4 linked regions of the Drosophila melanogaster genome follow. The protein of the gene in region 4 interacts with the protein of the main gene of each other region in a pairwise test. Each region holds a gene or a part of one and is shown on either strand. Other genes may lie near its edges. The genes, in order: hale, CG17376, Mst87F and dsx.

Region 1 (3,629 bases), on a different chromosome or scaffold from region 4:
GCAAAGATTTCTCCTTCCGCCACCTCCGTATTGCCAATCCAGCAGCAGGACCTGCACCCAAGTTAGTCCCTCTGCCCGGAAAGTGAGGCGTTGTCGCACAAGGATTTCTGAGCTGGGAACGGATCCGTATCCTTGCCAAATAAGAACTCCCTTGCCGCCAGCTTCGCTGATCTTGCCCGGCCACCGGAATTTGCAATCCCAACCCCTTGAGCCCAGAAACGACCATTTCGGAATAAACTCGGTCATGTCCAACTACGTGGCTAGCTTTATGAACATGCAGGCTGATCGATAATTACTTTTAATTACAGTTCATTGTTTAACGAACATTACTTGTGATATAAGTCCTAGCTGCTGTAGAAATTGTGAAAGAATTCATTTTTTATGTATCATAAAATATTTATAAATAGGGTTTAAATATTACAAACTAATAAACGAAAAAAAAACCTTAAAAGTGACTCTCTCTTCATATTGCAAGAATAAATATTCTTATTATTGAATTCAATTAAGAAATAGTGGCAAGCTGCTTGCTTAAAAGTCTTGGAATTTTATTACACTTTCTTCTTTTACAGTGTAGGAGTGGCTCTTAGTCCCCTTCCCTAGCGACCATCTCTTGGAGGAGCTCGCACCAAGCCGGGATGCCAGAAGCAGTTGGAGCAGTTGCAGCGCGGACAATGCCAGCAGTTTCCGCACTTCATGCACACATTTCCGGTCGCATGTTGGGTGGGCGAGGAGCAGGGGGATGGACCTGGTACGGATCCGCCACTGTCCCAGAGATCCTTGTTCCGGAGACACGAACGACTGCGCTTCGGGCTGGCCGAACGAGCTCTTGGCAGCCCGGCGGCGGAGGCAGATGTGGCTGTTGGGGATGATGACGAGGATGGTGGTTGTGGTGGTGCAGCTGGAGGAGCACAAGGAGCTGCCGGCGGGCAATGAGGCTCTCTCTTCGCCGAACTGGAATCTGGCTGATCTAGAAACCTAACCGTGGGCGCATACAGCTGGAAAGCCAGAGGCTGGGGGATCTGCAGGTCACAACAGGACCTCTCCCGTTCCTTGCGCAATTCGGCCAGCAGGCGATTGAAGGACAGGTCGTACTGCACCAATTGCTGCAACGGCAGCTGCGAGTCCTGTGCGGGATTCGTCAGCAGCTGCTGATGCGTCAAGTGCTGCGGTTGGGCCAGCGGCACCAGGTTCCACGATGGCGGAACTGGAATCAGGCTGCACAAGTAAACGGGCTGATTTAAGCCACCATGGGAACTGGGTGGTGCCAGGCAAAAGATCTGCGGCATCGCTGGGGCTCCTTGAGCCAACGATGATTCCTGTCGATAGCATCTTGATGGATTTGGCTGCGAATCATATCCAGCGCATGGTCCACCGGCTGAACAACACTGGCCATGAAAGCTGCAAGGAGAGGCCTGGATGGGATTGGGCATCGGAGTTGGATATGGATTGGCACTAGGACTGGCACTTGGACCGGCTGTACCTGGCTGGCCAAATCTGTCCAAGCCACCATTGAACTGGGTACAGCTCGAGCAGATCATGTGATTTTTGTATTCATCCAAATTGAAAGAATTCGGCAGTGGCACATTGCAGTCAATGCTGGAGAGGAAGGGAGTAGAAATCGAATCACTTTTCATGGAAATTCATGTATAAATTACCTCAGACCCTCTGGACACTCGGTGACCAGGCACATGCCCAGTCGCGGTGGTTCCACCTCGGACTTGGAGGGCACATCGTTGGTCGACAGTGGAGCGTAGGACATGGTGAACTGATGCTGTGAATTTCCCTGCGACTGCAGGCCGCCACCGTTTCCATTGGCGATCAGCTTGCCCGACGAGGTTGCATTGCATCCGTGCTCACAGCTCTCCGTGCAGAACATCTTCAACTCTTCACCACCCGGAGAGGCCAACTCACGGATATGACAATTTTGTGTACATGTTAAAGCACAAAAGGTGTAGAAATGTTTGACATCATAAAGCTGAGACATACTGATTGATACCAGACTTGCTTCTCTAGTATATAATTTGAATTATTTTAAGAAATAAATACTGTTTCAAGTTTTTAAATAATTTTATCTTATTAATATTAATATGGTTCTAAAATCTTAAACACCAAGAACGTTTTGGTCACTACTTACACAGTAAGGGAAATCCAGTTTCGATGAGCATTTCAAAGTTGACAGTACATTTGTCGCCTGATATACTTTTTGATATGCGTTAGGAAACATCAACTCACAACACCCGGAAAACACATCAAAATTCAGGAAAATGGAGGCCCCAGGCGAGAATGAATCATCAGGGCAATTGGCCAAATCAAATGACGAAACGGTGGCCAAATGCTGTTTCATGATTACCGTGGGCACTGATGGTCTCATCGAAATTAGCTCACTTAATCAGGAATGCAAGAATCCCCAAAGCGGAGCAGACAGTAGTAACTCCCCACTGACGAATGGCACTAAGGAAACCAAGAAAGAGTGCATAGCTGTGCTCAAAGGGAATTCAAATGACATCGATGATGACTCAACTGAAAAGCTGGAGAAGAGCAAGAATGACAAGTCCATAGAGGAGATCAAGAAAACCGAAACTTTGCCGCCTTTCGTTAAGATCTGCAACAAGGATCTGGCGAATAGACCTTCGTTCGTGGTTCTCGAGGATGCTTTGGCTAGGAATCGGATTCAACAGGACATAGAACAGTCGAAGGAAGACCAAACCGGCAAGTGTCAGACGCAGCAGACCTCGCGTTCCTACGCCATTTCTAATGCAGGATCCCAGACGGACAAAGCCTTTCCGCAGTATCCAACCACCAGCAATAGCAACCAGAAAGGTTATATTATTCATTTTAGATTGCTTCTATATTTATGTTCCTTCCTCCCTCTTTATTCCCCAGGTAACACTGTACAAGCCGCTCGGAAGTTATCCCTTCAAACTGCAGCCCAGGTCCGACAAAAACTTTTAAAATTAAATCGGGAGCAACAGCAACAACAGCGACAACCGTCGCTGAATGAGCAGCATCAACAGCAAATGTCCTTGCTGCAACATCAGAACATGCAGCAGAATGTGCTGCAGCAGCAGCAGCAACATATGCAGCAGCATTTGACGCTGCAGCAACACCCGAACGTGCGAGTTCAACCGACCAACAACTCGCCATATGTGACCATCAGTTTTATGCACATGAATCAGCCGGGGACGGCAACATCGGGTTGTCCTGTCATGTATCCTGGCCAGCAGTTCCTGTGCGCCACGCCGAGCAGCATGTCCAGCTGCTCCTGCTGCACGTGCAGCAATTGCTGTCCGTCGAGGACGAGTCAAGTCTGCCCAATGCAGATGGGCAATCAGTATCAATGTCCAGCCAACGGAAGCAACTGCTGCATGTTGAAGCCGGAGAGTTTTGCAAACGGCTGCTACAACGGTGGTACATCCTGCTGTCCTTTGTCGAGCATGGAATCACATCCTTCTATGGGATTAGGTGGTCAGATCAGCCAGCACATGATGCACCCAGTTCTCGGAACCTCCACTTGTGCGCTGCAGCAGCAGCCGAATATTCCGATTTCTGGAGGATTTTATCCCTGTTGCTCGTGCCAATCCTTGTGCAACCAGTGTTCCCAGTGCAGGACGCACCCCCATCCTTGTTGC
Region 2 (3,364 bases), on a different chromosome or scaffold from region 4:
ATTTTGCTCGTTGGATTATATATTCACGATCCAAATCGTATAACAACGAATGAGACGACAACTGAAGAAGCCTTGACCACTTTATGGGCGTAGAGAAGAAAGTCCTGTCTGTACAGTAGTTGTTGTACCCAATAAAATTTGTTTAAATTGTTACTAAAAGTTCTTCATTCGAGCCTATTGAAGAAATATAGAAATCCACAATATATATTTTTGGATCAAAAAATTTAACCGACCGATATAATTTCTAGTTTTCGTCGCCCTTTAGTTTATATAAGCATAGTGATAGAATAAACCACATGCCCCAGTGGCCTAATGGATAAGGCATCGGCCTCCTAAGCCGGGGATTGTGGGTTCGAGTCCCATCTGGGGTAAGAGTTGTATCCTTTTTTTTTATTTCTTAAACTTTGAAGCCTAGAAATCTGCATCCGAAAAAAGGTGCATCCGAACGAGTTTCCAGCCAAAACCCGTTACATTCCCTCGCTAATTAAAAAGGAGTGGTTCGATTTCTTATATTTATTAATATTTAAAGCCTAAAAATCTGCATATTGGTGATAGATGCATCCGATCGAGTTGCTAACCAAAACGTGTTACACAACATGGTCCAACGGTTCTCAGTTCCGCCGCTTATATGGGTCGTCCGTAGTAACAGAGCCGCTTAGAAGCCACCTGAGGGAGAAAATTAGAATAAGAGGTACATGTACTAAAACATTTACTTACAAATGTGTGGAGTGGAAAGGATTAGGACCAGAGTCGGTGGCTAAACCTAGCAACAGCATTTTGGCGGAGTGTTGTAGCAGTGGGCTTTGCACGGAGCACACCACACGCAAGGCGCGTTATCCTTGTTAACAAGGTAACGCCTGGGGCAAGGAGCTTTGGGAGAAGGACGAATAGTCACACTGATCGCAAGGACCAGACTCTCCGCTGCTGTGGCACACACAATCCATTGCCTTCCCGTGCCTCTCAAGGTTCGAAAACGGACGGACGGACAGAATTTGTGGGTTCGTATGGTGGAGTGGGAGCATTTAGCTCGGAAGCGGACTTACATGGATAAGTTGGGGGCGTGTTGTAGTAGTTCCAGACACGGGGATCGGGAATGCCGCCCTCGGGCAGAGGGGGACAGCACATGCCCGGAGCAGGAGAGCACGGGATGGGAGACGGGGCTCCGCATGGCGGACTGTGGGGGCCACAGCAGGGTGTTTCATTACAGGGTCCACAGCATCCACATCCGTTGCACATGTTGAGTTTGTCTAACGCTGCGGGCGAAAAGTTAAGATGTTATACTTTTTGAACAAATACTTAACACTCACTTTTTTGGTTGAGTTATTATCGAAAAAGTAAATTTGGAATTTAGAAAAAAATTTAGAAGTCGAAGCGACTGGTCCGAGAGTCAGATATCGAATGAGGTTAGCTGTTCCCTTGGCCCAGCACATCCAGTTCAAGTTTCGGTTCGGGTTGGCTTAAAAGTCATGGCCAACTTTATGAAATTTCATGGCCTACTTCGACTTAGCAAAGATTATGAAATCGCCACAGATCTACATAATTATATATCTATATTTGCCTTATTCACTAAAACAAAATATTTGACCCGCGAATTGTTTAGGTCAACTAACTCACTAAGATTGGAACATGGCTCTCCCAGCTCGAAAAAATGGGTTTAAAACAAAGTACTATCAGCAAAGTTCAACTTTTAATTAATTAAATCTTAAATGCCACGGAAACCCACCCTAATAAAATTGATATTAATTAATATAAATATCAGAATATCTGTGGGACATATGAACGTAAATTTTTATGGCCTTGGCATAAGGTTTCAACCTTAATTTACAATTCTAATGCCAGGCTTAAAATATAAATATTCGAAGCATAAGTGCAGCCATAAAATAAACGCAACCTTTAACACCCCCCATAATACACAGAATATAATTTCAATTTGTTTATTTGTAATTTAATGCCAAATAGATTCCAGATACCAACATATGATTTTGTGTTTAAATCAAGACCGTCTGACGAATTGCACATGGGTTCCCAAATAGCTTCGAGCCCTTCTAGTAATGGGTATTCCGCAGCTGGCTAAATCTTGATTTAAGCCAACTTCAATTTTTTATCAACCAAAACTACGTCACAAAACGACAACATGTCCCGCCAAGGAAGTGGCCCATATCAGGATCCGATCGAAACACTTGCCAGGAAATACTTATAAGCCACCTGTGGGATGAGAAAGGTAAAACCAGTGAATGCAGAAGGTATCGCAGTTACTTACACGCGACAGGATGCGGATGGAGGTCAAAGGGTCATGAAGGATTTGGGGCCTGGCAACAGCATTTGGTCCATGGATCCTACCTCTACGCTCACAAAGCCCAGGACATGCTATCATTGTTGACGGATCAGCGTAGTGGGCATAAAGCTCCTGCAAAAGGACATGAAGCGTCACCACAAGCACATGTTCCAGATGCTGTGACCTGCAAAGTCCTTGGGCATGCCTCGTGCTCCTCCGCTCCATGGTTTTTACGTTCTACGGACGCCCAGCGCCGTGACAGATGGACAAGCAGACGGACAGACAGGCGGACAGGTGGACGGACCTGGACCGGACTTACATGGGTACGTCACAGGTGCGTTATAGTAGTTCCAGACACGCGGATCGGGAATGCCGCCTTCAGGCAGCGGAGGGCAGCACATGCCCGGAGCAGAGGAGCAAGGAATGGGCGACGGAGCTCCGCATGGAGGACTGTGCGGGCCACAGCATGGAAGACTGTGCGAGCCACAGCATGGAGGACTGTGCGGGCCACAGCAGGGCGATACATTACAGCAGCAGGGACCGCATCCACAGCAGCCGCCGGCAACGCGTCCACCGCATCCGGCACCGCCATTTGGTGCTCCAGTGGCGGCACAGCGCATACGCTTATTGTTCACGCCCATCATCATGTTAGCGTAGCGCAGCGGGAATGCCGCCGGACCGCAGGTGGGGAAGGGGAAGCACAGGCAGGCCGGTCGGCCCTGGCAGGCGGACCGCGGGCACTTGTCCTGCAGACCGTTCCGCTTCACGCAGTCGCAAGTGGTGTACATGATGCCGCATCGTAACTCCCGACTGCGGCATCCGCGCGGCTGGAAAGGATGCATACATAGTGGTCACAAGTGGTCAGTGGTGTGTTGCATATGGTTACTCACCTCCAACGATCCACATCCGTCACACATCTTGAGCCCGTCGAGCGCTACAGGACAAAGGATTTAAAAATATACTATGGTCTTCCCGGGATAAACTTACTCTATTTGGTCAAATTAATTTGGAAGAAAAATTTGGAATTTGGAAAATTTAGAAGCTGGCCGAAACGAAAGGTCCGAGAGTTTGGTATCGAATGAGGAATGA
Region 3 (3,188 bases), 5.9 Mb from region 4:
GCCAAAAAGGGGTGGGGGGGGGGGGGCGGTCATCTCCAGGGGGATCGGATCGGCGACTGGAGACGGCGGCATTCGGGTAAATTTAAATATATTTTTTATATGCACTTTGTTGACTTTTTGCGCTTCGCCGTCGTTTAATACCGCTCGGAATTCAGGAATCGGAATCCGCTGTGCCGAAACTAGTTCGTCGCAGAATTAGTGCAGTAAATATACACAAAAGTAAAATAAAAATAAAAATAAAAACAAAAACACAAGAACATGCATGACTGTGTGCGGGTTAAATATGTATGTACCTGCTTAAATAAGTTTTATTTAGCGTGTTCTATTGAAAGGACAATAAACTCTCGGCGAAACGTCAAGGTCGACCACATCGCATTAGAAGACTGCGGATCGATTCTAATTCAGGTCGCATTTGCGTCTAAACATCTGTATCTGTGTTCTAAAATCAGATATTTGGCTAAGCAAATTGCATTTGACTATTATCACTAATCAAAAACCAAACCTTCTTGAAGCTTACACCTCATATTTATTGTCTCAAATACCTATATTTGTGGTTCACGAATATTAGATGAATACGAGGATGAAATAGGGATAGGTTCTATCCTATCGTCTTGGTGTTCTGGTGAACCCTTCTTGGACATGGCCAGTTGCAACTGTCTAGCAGCAAGGGTATCCACAATAGCAGCCGCCACAGGGTCCACAGGCATAGCATGGTCCGCAGACATTCGGTCCATAGCAGGGTCCACATCCTCCTCCGCATGGTCCGCATGGACCACAGCAGGGTCCGCAGCAAGGTCCGCAGCAGGGTCCACAGGGTCCGCAGCACATGATTAATTCGTAAAAGTTCTGAAGGGAGAAAAGGTACGTTTAAATGATATGCCATAGGAATTTTTTACACATTTTCATTTTTGTAAATTTTCACTTATTTTCACTCACTTTGAACCGAACAAAAAGAAATAATTTGAGACTAGACGACAAATTTTGATGTGTTCAGGCCGAAAGGACAAATAATAATGATACAAAATCTGGTTACGCACAGGTATATCGGTTTGACAAGTCGGACTGAAGAGGCAAAGGATACTATATAAAATATTTTGTTTAAAGCATTGGCTAAAGCTTATAATGATTGTATTGTAAGTAGGGAAATGCTCAATCTTCATGTGAATTAACCTTTATATTTCGATCCTACCTATGTAGTTATCATCCAACTTGGTAGGAACGCATCAAGTTGCCACTATTTTTCCAGTGCACTGTAACATATAAACGAGGTAAATGAGATTTAAATTTTTGTTTTGTCGGATCATGTGTTCATTGCACCCGGCTGAAGTTCGAATCGCTGCCGGTTCTCAAGTCGAGTTCTGCGCTGCACTTTTGTTTACTCTTGATTTTGTCGTACTTTTTGATTAAGTGCATGGCGCATAGCCGATTGCCGATTGCCGAGAATCCGGGTATCGGGGCTGAACGGGTATACTATATATGCAAGTGTATATTAAGTTCATTATCTGACCGAAGACTTGTGTTGCTTATGTTTTTTATTTTGTTTTTTCTTGGTTTTTTTCCCCAGCCGAATCGAGCCAAGAATGTCGTCGCATTGAAAGAGGTCAATCACCAGCGATTGCGCCTTGGATGTCACTCGGTGTAATTGAGCGCAATTTATTTCATTTGCTAACGATTTTACGATTTCGGATTTAATTAACTCCCGAAAAGCAGGAAGCCTAGTGGACCAGTTGACAGAGCTCGCCAGCCTCCAAAATGGAACCCTAGTGTTATACACAATGATTATACAATGATTTGTATTTGTGCATGACTGAGTCAGCCGGAGCATTCGGGCAGAAAAGTATGGGTTGCAAATAAAAAGCGCATAATAGGCGTTTAAATGCAATTTTCTTCGCAAAATGGTCGGGCGAAATATCAAAAATTCGAATTATATGTTTTGCCGCATGTTGATTAGAATGTATGTATGTATTTGTGTGTGTGTCGATCAGCAGAGGCAGAAACCGAAGCAAAAACCCCGTCGTCAAACCGCACAGAAGTCCTCTCCCTTCTAGCAGAAATATTTGGGTAGAATCTCGCATCCGAGGAGACGGACAAGTCCAACTCAAAGTCGTTCTGTTTCGGCACGGTGAAAAATCACTATCATAGAAAAAATATATAGCGTAGTGACGAAAGGCGTCTCAAAGAAATGTGAACAAGAGTAGAGTAAGATATATTAAATACAAATCTAGCTTATATTACAAAGTGTCTAATATAAAGTGAATCAAACTTAGTTACATAAATCTAGTAGCGAACTTAGTGACGAAGCGCGTCTCAATCGAATCGGAAAGCGGTAGCAGATTTTAAATAATTATTTTCTTACCACCTAAATGTGGTTAAATGACTTTCATTGAATTTTTCTCTCTGTGGCTCTCTGGTTTTTTTTTTTCAAACTCGAGATGGATGGAACTCTGGTCAATAATTTTGTGAGGGTGCCGCCAAAAGGGCAGCAGACGCTGCTCTAACTTAGTTTTTTCGTTCATATTTGTGGCTGGCCTTTGTTTGAAATAGATTATTGGCAATACATATGTATACAAATATTTTGTATTTCGTCTGGCGACGGGAGTTCAAGGATTTTTATTGGGTTCAGTGAACCAAATGTCTTTCCTCCGGCCGGAAATATCGAATTCGCTTTAATTATGGCCCCTCGCATCAACTTATTAATATAAGTTTGATGAAAAGTGAAACACAATGGGCACACGCAGATGTCATCATCATCGGCTGGAAAGCGCTGAGTACTGCCAGTCAGCCCAGGGAAATCAATATCCGCCTATCCCTAAGTGTGCGCCATAATGACTTTAGGGGCGTGGCCGTCAATGGGGCCAAAGGTGAGGAGCGACCGAAAGGGTAAACGGCGGATTCAGGTAACCCGAGAAGCCGACGAAAGTGAAGAAAGCACGTGCCGCCCCCTAAAAAGTGGCAGCTGATCGCTAAAAAGGAAAAGTAAGGCGCAGTTCTGAAAGTCGGATATATGTACATACATACATAGTACTCTGATGTTAACTTAAATATTATTTAGATGTCTAAATCAAAGTTGAAGAATGCTGCAGCTCGTTTTCTTGCCGATCAATTTGAAGGTGCACAGAGGAAACCTGAGAATCCAATGGAAAGTGGTAATGGTAGTTCTGGGCACGTGCCGCCCCCCGAAAAAGGAT
Region 4 (4,736 bases):
GCCCTCTAAAGCACAAAAATAAAAAAAGCTTTACATCAATCAATTACATATCAATAATAAAAAAACCAAATAATATAAGTAATATAAGTAAAAAGTATACATGGGAAGAATGTGGTTAATATTTCTATATTATATAGATAGGGAATATAAGATTCTTCTACACTTCTTGTCCACTTTCTCCACACCTGCTGGCGTGTTTGATTCGTGTTTAATCTAATTTGCACTTAGTTTGACATTATGGTGACTCATTGAACTTGCCTATGCACACAGATTCACACTCAAAATGTTTGACGATTGATTAGAACCTAATGAACGAAAGATAGGGAGAAATATATGTGACATAGACGAAAGCCAGTATCGATGAGAATTTTAATCTATTAGCTAGGTGACATGTAGTGTGAGCGTTTGTCTGTCTCAATTTTCGTTTGCTGTAATGACTTAATTTCGGAGTCTAAAGAGTTAATACCCTGTATTTAAATGGAGGGTAAATTGAGCATGAACGATGTGCTGATAACGGGTCTCACATTCGTGCTAGCACCAGATACCCGCCCCCTTCTTCCACCGCCTCCCGCTGGCCACGGCAAAATGTTGTTATTTTGCCTGTGTGTTTAAAAACTGCACAAGATTGCTTATCTTGCATGTCGCCTCTAATTTGTATGAGCTGAGAGACCCGCAGAGAAATAATTCCTCCGAAGAGCCACTTTAAGAGAAAGACCCTGCTGGCTATCAGTTTTCAATATTTGTGTTTGGTGGAAATAATGACAAATATAAGCAGGGAAACAGTGGTCAAAGTTGCCAAAGGAAAAGCGGATTAAATTGATTACGGGCGAGCATAAAAAATGTGCAGCTTGCGCATGTATGCTCAATTAATTTGTCTAAAGCGGAAGAGATCACGATAAGAACCCACTTCAGGTTATTAATGGGCCAAGGACAGCTCGGCGTTATAAATGGCAAAAGCACCTTAAGTCGATTATATGATAATTGCAAGTGGGGTGCAGCTTAAAAAGTTGAGTACAGATCATTATAACTGTGCACTAAGAAAAATGCATTTACAGGTATTTTATATTTGTATATATTCTTGGGAAAATGTACCAAGCTCAGATTTATATTATACTAAAATATTCGTCTTGCTAATATGGTTTAATAACTTACTTAATATAAATCTATGAGTAAAAAGTCTGCATGTTTGCTGAGGAGTCAAACGGCATGCTAGGTTCTTATACCTTTTTTTTTAAGACTACAGACAGGTGTACTCGATCTTGCCATTTGCGTCATCCGTCTTCATGAAAGTCGAGATTTCGTGAGTGAAAGCAAGCTGCAGTTTCTACTAATGATCTCTTACGCCCACTAAAATATGAGTTTTAACTTAGCAAGGCTAACTATGTTATTTCGACTACAAATGACAAGAATAATAGCCAAAAGAAATGAATAATTATCCCCAAGATAACACAAAATATTAAAGGTAAACTGTCCTTTCGCGCTATACACAATGAGCATTGGCAAAAATTTAAGTTCTAATTTACATATATTTTTTATAATTGCAGCACTCGTGAATAATCGATGGTAAGCTTTAAAATTAACAAGAAACGCCTTCGCTTCAACTTTAATTTGAATAAAAATATTCAGCACGTGTTTATCGTTTTAAGCCAGTTGGTTTCCGTATTTGTCATTTGCATTTTCCTCATAACCACTTAGACCTTGGTCCAATTTGCCTTATATGTATGCAGTCATCTAGGATAGCCGATCGCAAACGACAATGGCAATGGCCTACGCTATCCCAATCTTAGAAACTAATGCGGGAGTCTCATAGTGTGGCTGTAAAACGCGACCTGTTGCTCGTTTCCTGTTTAATTTGGAAGTCAGACAATAGCCTGAACCCCTGGCTCCCCCCCATTCAGCAGTCATACCGCCAGTTGTAGATGGCAATCGCTGAGCGTACCTGCTGCTATCGCCATTAAGCCTTGTACACACGAGCATTTATGTCAGGCAATTACAAGGCAGTTTGCAACGCCCCCAAATGCCGGGCAAAAAGGTGGCAAAACGGAGCGGAGTGGTGGCACATTTTGGCCGCAGAGCGCTCGTAACTCATCGTTCACTTACCAGGTACAATGCCAATTGCATGCACTCGCTAGAGTATCTCCAGGTCCACTACTAGACCACTAGCAGTATATGTATCTGTATCTGCATCTGCGATCTGCCTCCGCGAGGTGTGCTTTGCTCTTGGTTATGCAAGCAAAGTGAGAGAATATAGCACTAGCACTCGGCGAACTCGATGAGATACGGGGAGTCCGATCGGCTGGGTACGAGACGGTCAGGAGTGCTTCGTGGACCGAGAGTGAGAGTGTGAAGCCGGTAAAAATTTATTTCTTTTATTTGTTATCTTAAACCGTACAAGCTGTAGCCGCAAACGACTTTGTTTAGCATGGCACTCGCGGCTCGATCTGGTTCCCTGTAGGTCAACGCATTTTAGAGATATTTTCGGACCTCGCACAGCAACTAAAAACTATCGCACAGAATTTTGTACCGAATCCGCTCCAGTTCTTTTCACTTCAGCTTGAGATTGTGATTTCGAGCACGGAACGCGGACGGCGCGAGACGCCAACGCGACATGCACGACCTGCAAAGGACGATCGATGCCAGCAAACTGGTTGCGGCCACAAAGCTAAAGCTCCCCGTGCACGATACTAACACTCGGACCAGTACCAGTCCGACTAGCAGACCAAAAGACAGCGGACAGATACACGGACATTCAGGCGGACGGGCGGACCTAAAACTGAGCATGTGTTTCTGGCACAGAGACGGGCCCACCGACTGGCGACGCAACGCTCTTGCTATTTGTATTTGCACTCTGGTTGCTGCACCGCGAAAAAAGAAACGAGTGCGAGCATCCAACCTGCTCGACTGCTGGATGCACTGCACATCAACTGGGAGAAAGCAAATTGGTTTGGTACCAGATATGGATACCCTTATTTGACCGTTTTCATTGTAAACCCTTAACTATGCTCTTTTCCATAAGTAAACCATGCTAAAAATAACATAATTTAAACACAATTCTTACAATATGAACTATGAACTATAAAAAAGTATTGCAAACTATTAAATCGTATGTAATATGAGCTAAATTCGCCGCGAAAAATATAGGTTCCGCACTGCGGATACTTAATTCTCCTTACCTGCGTTGCATACTTTTAAGGGCTAATTTCCGCTAATATCAGCCAAATAAAATGTATTTTAAAAAATTATGTATTTGAACGGAAAATGTTTTAAAATATTCATTACTTCTGTGTTGCTATTTAATATGTGAAATACGAAAAACGGTCAATTATTTTAAATACTAAGTAAATAGTTTTTAAACAGAAACATTTATACGATAGAAGGGCATTTCTTTCATCGGTTCCCACGATTTTTAGCAAACTCATAAGCTCGAAGCAACGTTGGTATGTGAAGAACTCAAACGAAAGCATCTTGGGCAACAGAGAGTTACGGAGAGAAACGGGTCTGCGAGAGTGTAAAGTGCATTTGCCCCATTAATGGGGAGCATAAAACATCGAAGACGTGCTCTTCCTCTCTGAGCGATTCTCTCTTGAAGTTCGCGTGTTTTTTTGCGAATCTCTGCGAGAAGCTCGAGTGGAGCAACTTTGTTGCCGTACATTGACGTCTCCCGCCTGCATGTGCCGATCGTAAATTTGCACTCTGGTCGCTCTCTCTCTCTCTTCCGTTCTCTTTCCGCGTGGCGCGAGAAGAAGAAGCGCCAGATATGGGGAGCATCGAATCGGGTTTGGGCGTCTAGCCGACGATATAGGTCGAACCACTCAGCTGGGTTTCGGCCTGCGCCGCGTATTTATGCCACCTTTAGACGCAGCGATTTGCGTGTGTCGCACTCGCATTTATCACATTGAAAGGTCCCCTTTCATCGTCAGCCGTTATATTAGTCAGGATCGTTTATACAGTACGGCGGAGATAATTTTGCCGAAGCTCGGCTCCATTAAAAGATACTTCCCTCAGGCGATGCACGCAACTCCCAAAAAGGTAACCAAAAATGGTCGAGAGTTCGATTTTTGGGCAGTGAATCGATTTCGAAAGGGCCTTCGGTACTTCAGTAGTTTCCCATTGGTGACCAAATTGTAGGGGAATGAATGGCTCAGCGATCAGAAAACATTAAGATAATACTCATTAATTAACCGTTTTTGATTCTCGTTTAGTGTTTCAGAGACAAAAGTTATTAATTTAATATTTAAATAAATGAAGTGATAAAGTGACTTAAATTTAATGAATTTATGTAATTATTTTGACTTGCTCATACAAAAATTGAATTTAAAGAAAATTACTTACTTATTATATTAACTATCAATATCATCGAGGTAATGTGAAAACTTAATATAATTGCATACTAGGGTACTACAACATATTATTTAAAAAATGTTTACGAAAGTGAGAGCGGAAGGCTTTGTCATTGATTTGCATGAAACTGTATATATTGCATAGGCAAGGGGATACATTTTTCATCCAAATCCGATTTACATCTTCACCAATTGATCCCGTGCCGATTGTAGAACGATAAAATTCACATAGCTTTAAAGGCGCATTTCTTGCACCATTTCTTGTACCTTGGATCGCACAAATTTTAGCCCTTTTTATGGCGGAGTGTCGAAAGAGCTTGGCTGGGGGCATCTGCATTTGCAATCTCATAAATCAATTAGCAAAGAGCGGCGCGGGAAGAGTATCTCGCGGATACG

The links.
Region 1: the proteins of dsx (region 4) and hale interact in a two-hybrid assay, tested with the Drosophila melanogaster proteins (2 studies listed by BioGRID).
Region 2: the proteins of dsx (region 4) and CG17376 interact in a two-hybrid assay, tested with the Drosophila melanogaster proteins (2 studies listed by BioGRID).
Region 3: the proteins of dsx (region 4) and Mst87F interact in binary tests that used the Drosophila melanogaster proteins (3 or more experiments, as listed by UniProt).

What each region holds. Positions count from the first base shown.
Region 1 is NT_037436.4:19,983,900-19,987,528, forward strand, and holds hale (hale-bopp), read right to left. Parts: upstream 1,970-3,629; 5' UTR 1,877-1,969; coding exon 1,656-1,876; intron 1,597-1,655; coding exon 597-1,596; 3' UTR 527-596; downstream 1-526. Other genes in the region: CG17732 (uncharacterized protein), read left to right, coding at 1-292; schuy (schumacher-levy), read left to right, coding at 2,265-2,820, 2,884-3,629.
Region 2 is NT_033779.5:6,799,446-6,802,809, forward strand, and holds CG17376 (uncharacterized protein), read right to left. Parts: upstream 1,390-3,364; 5' UTR 1,308-1,389; intron 1,254-1,307; 5' UTR 1,237-1,253; coding exon 961-1,236; 3' UTR 871-960; coding exon of another isoform or gene 764-870; 3' UTR 718-763; intron 667-717; coding exon of another isoform or gene 656-666; 3' UTR 501-655; downstream 1-500. Other genes in the region: CG43610 (uncharacterized protein), read left to right, coding at 1-93; CG17377 (uncharacterized protein), read right to left, coding at 2,506-3,102, 3,166-3,192.
Region 3 is NT_033777.3:13,826,643-13,829,830, forward strand, and holds Mst87F (Male-specific RNA 87F), read right to left. Parts: upstream 1,367-3,188; 5' UTR 1,190-1,366; intron 1,045-1,189; exon of another isoform or gene 937-1,044; intron 847-936; 5' UTR 829-846; coding exon 658-828; 3' UTR 509-657; downstream 1-508.
Region 4 is NT_033777.3:7,964,363-7,969,098, forward strand, and holds the start of dsx (doublesex), read right to left. Parts: upstream 3,047-4,736; 5' UTR 2,101-3,046; intron 1-2,100. UniProt on the Drosophila melanogaster protein: Controls somatic sexual differentiation. Binds directly and specifically to the FBE (fat body enhancer) of the yolk protein 1 and 2 genes (Yp1 and Yp2).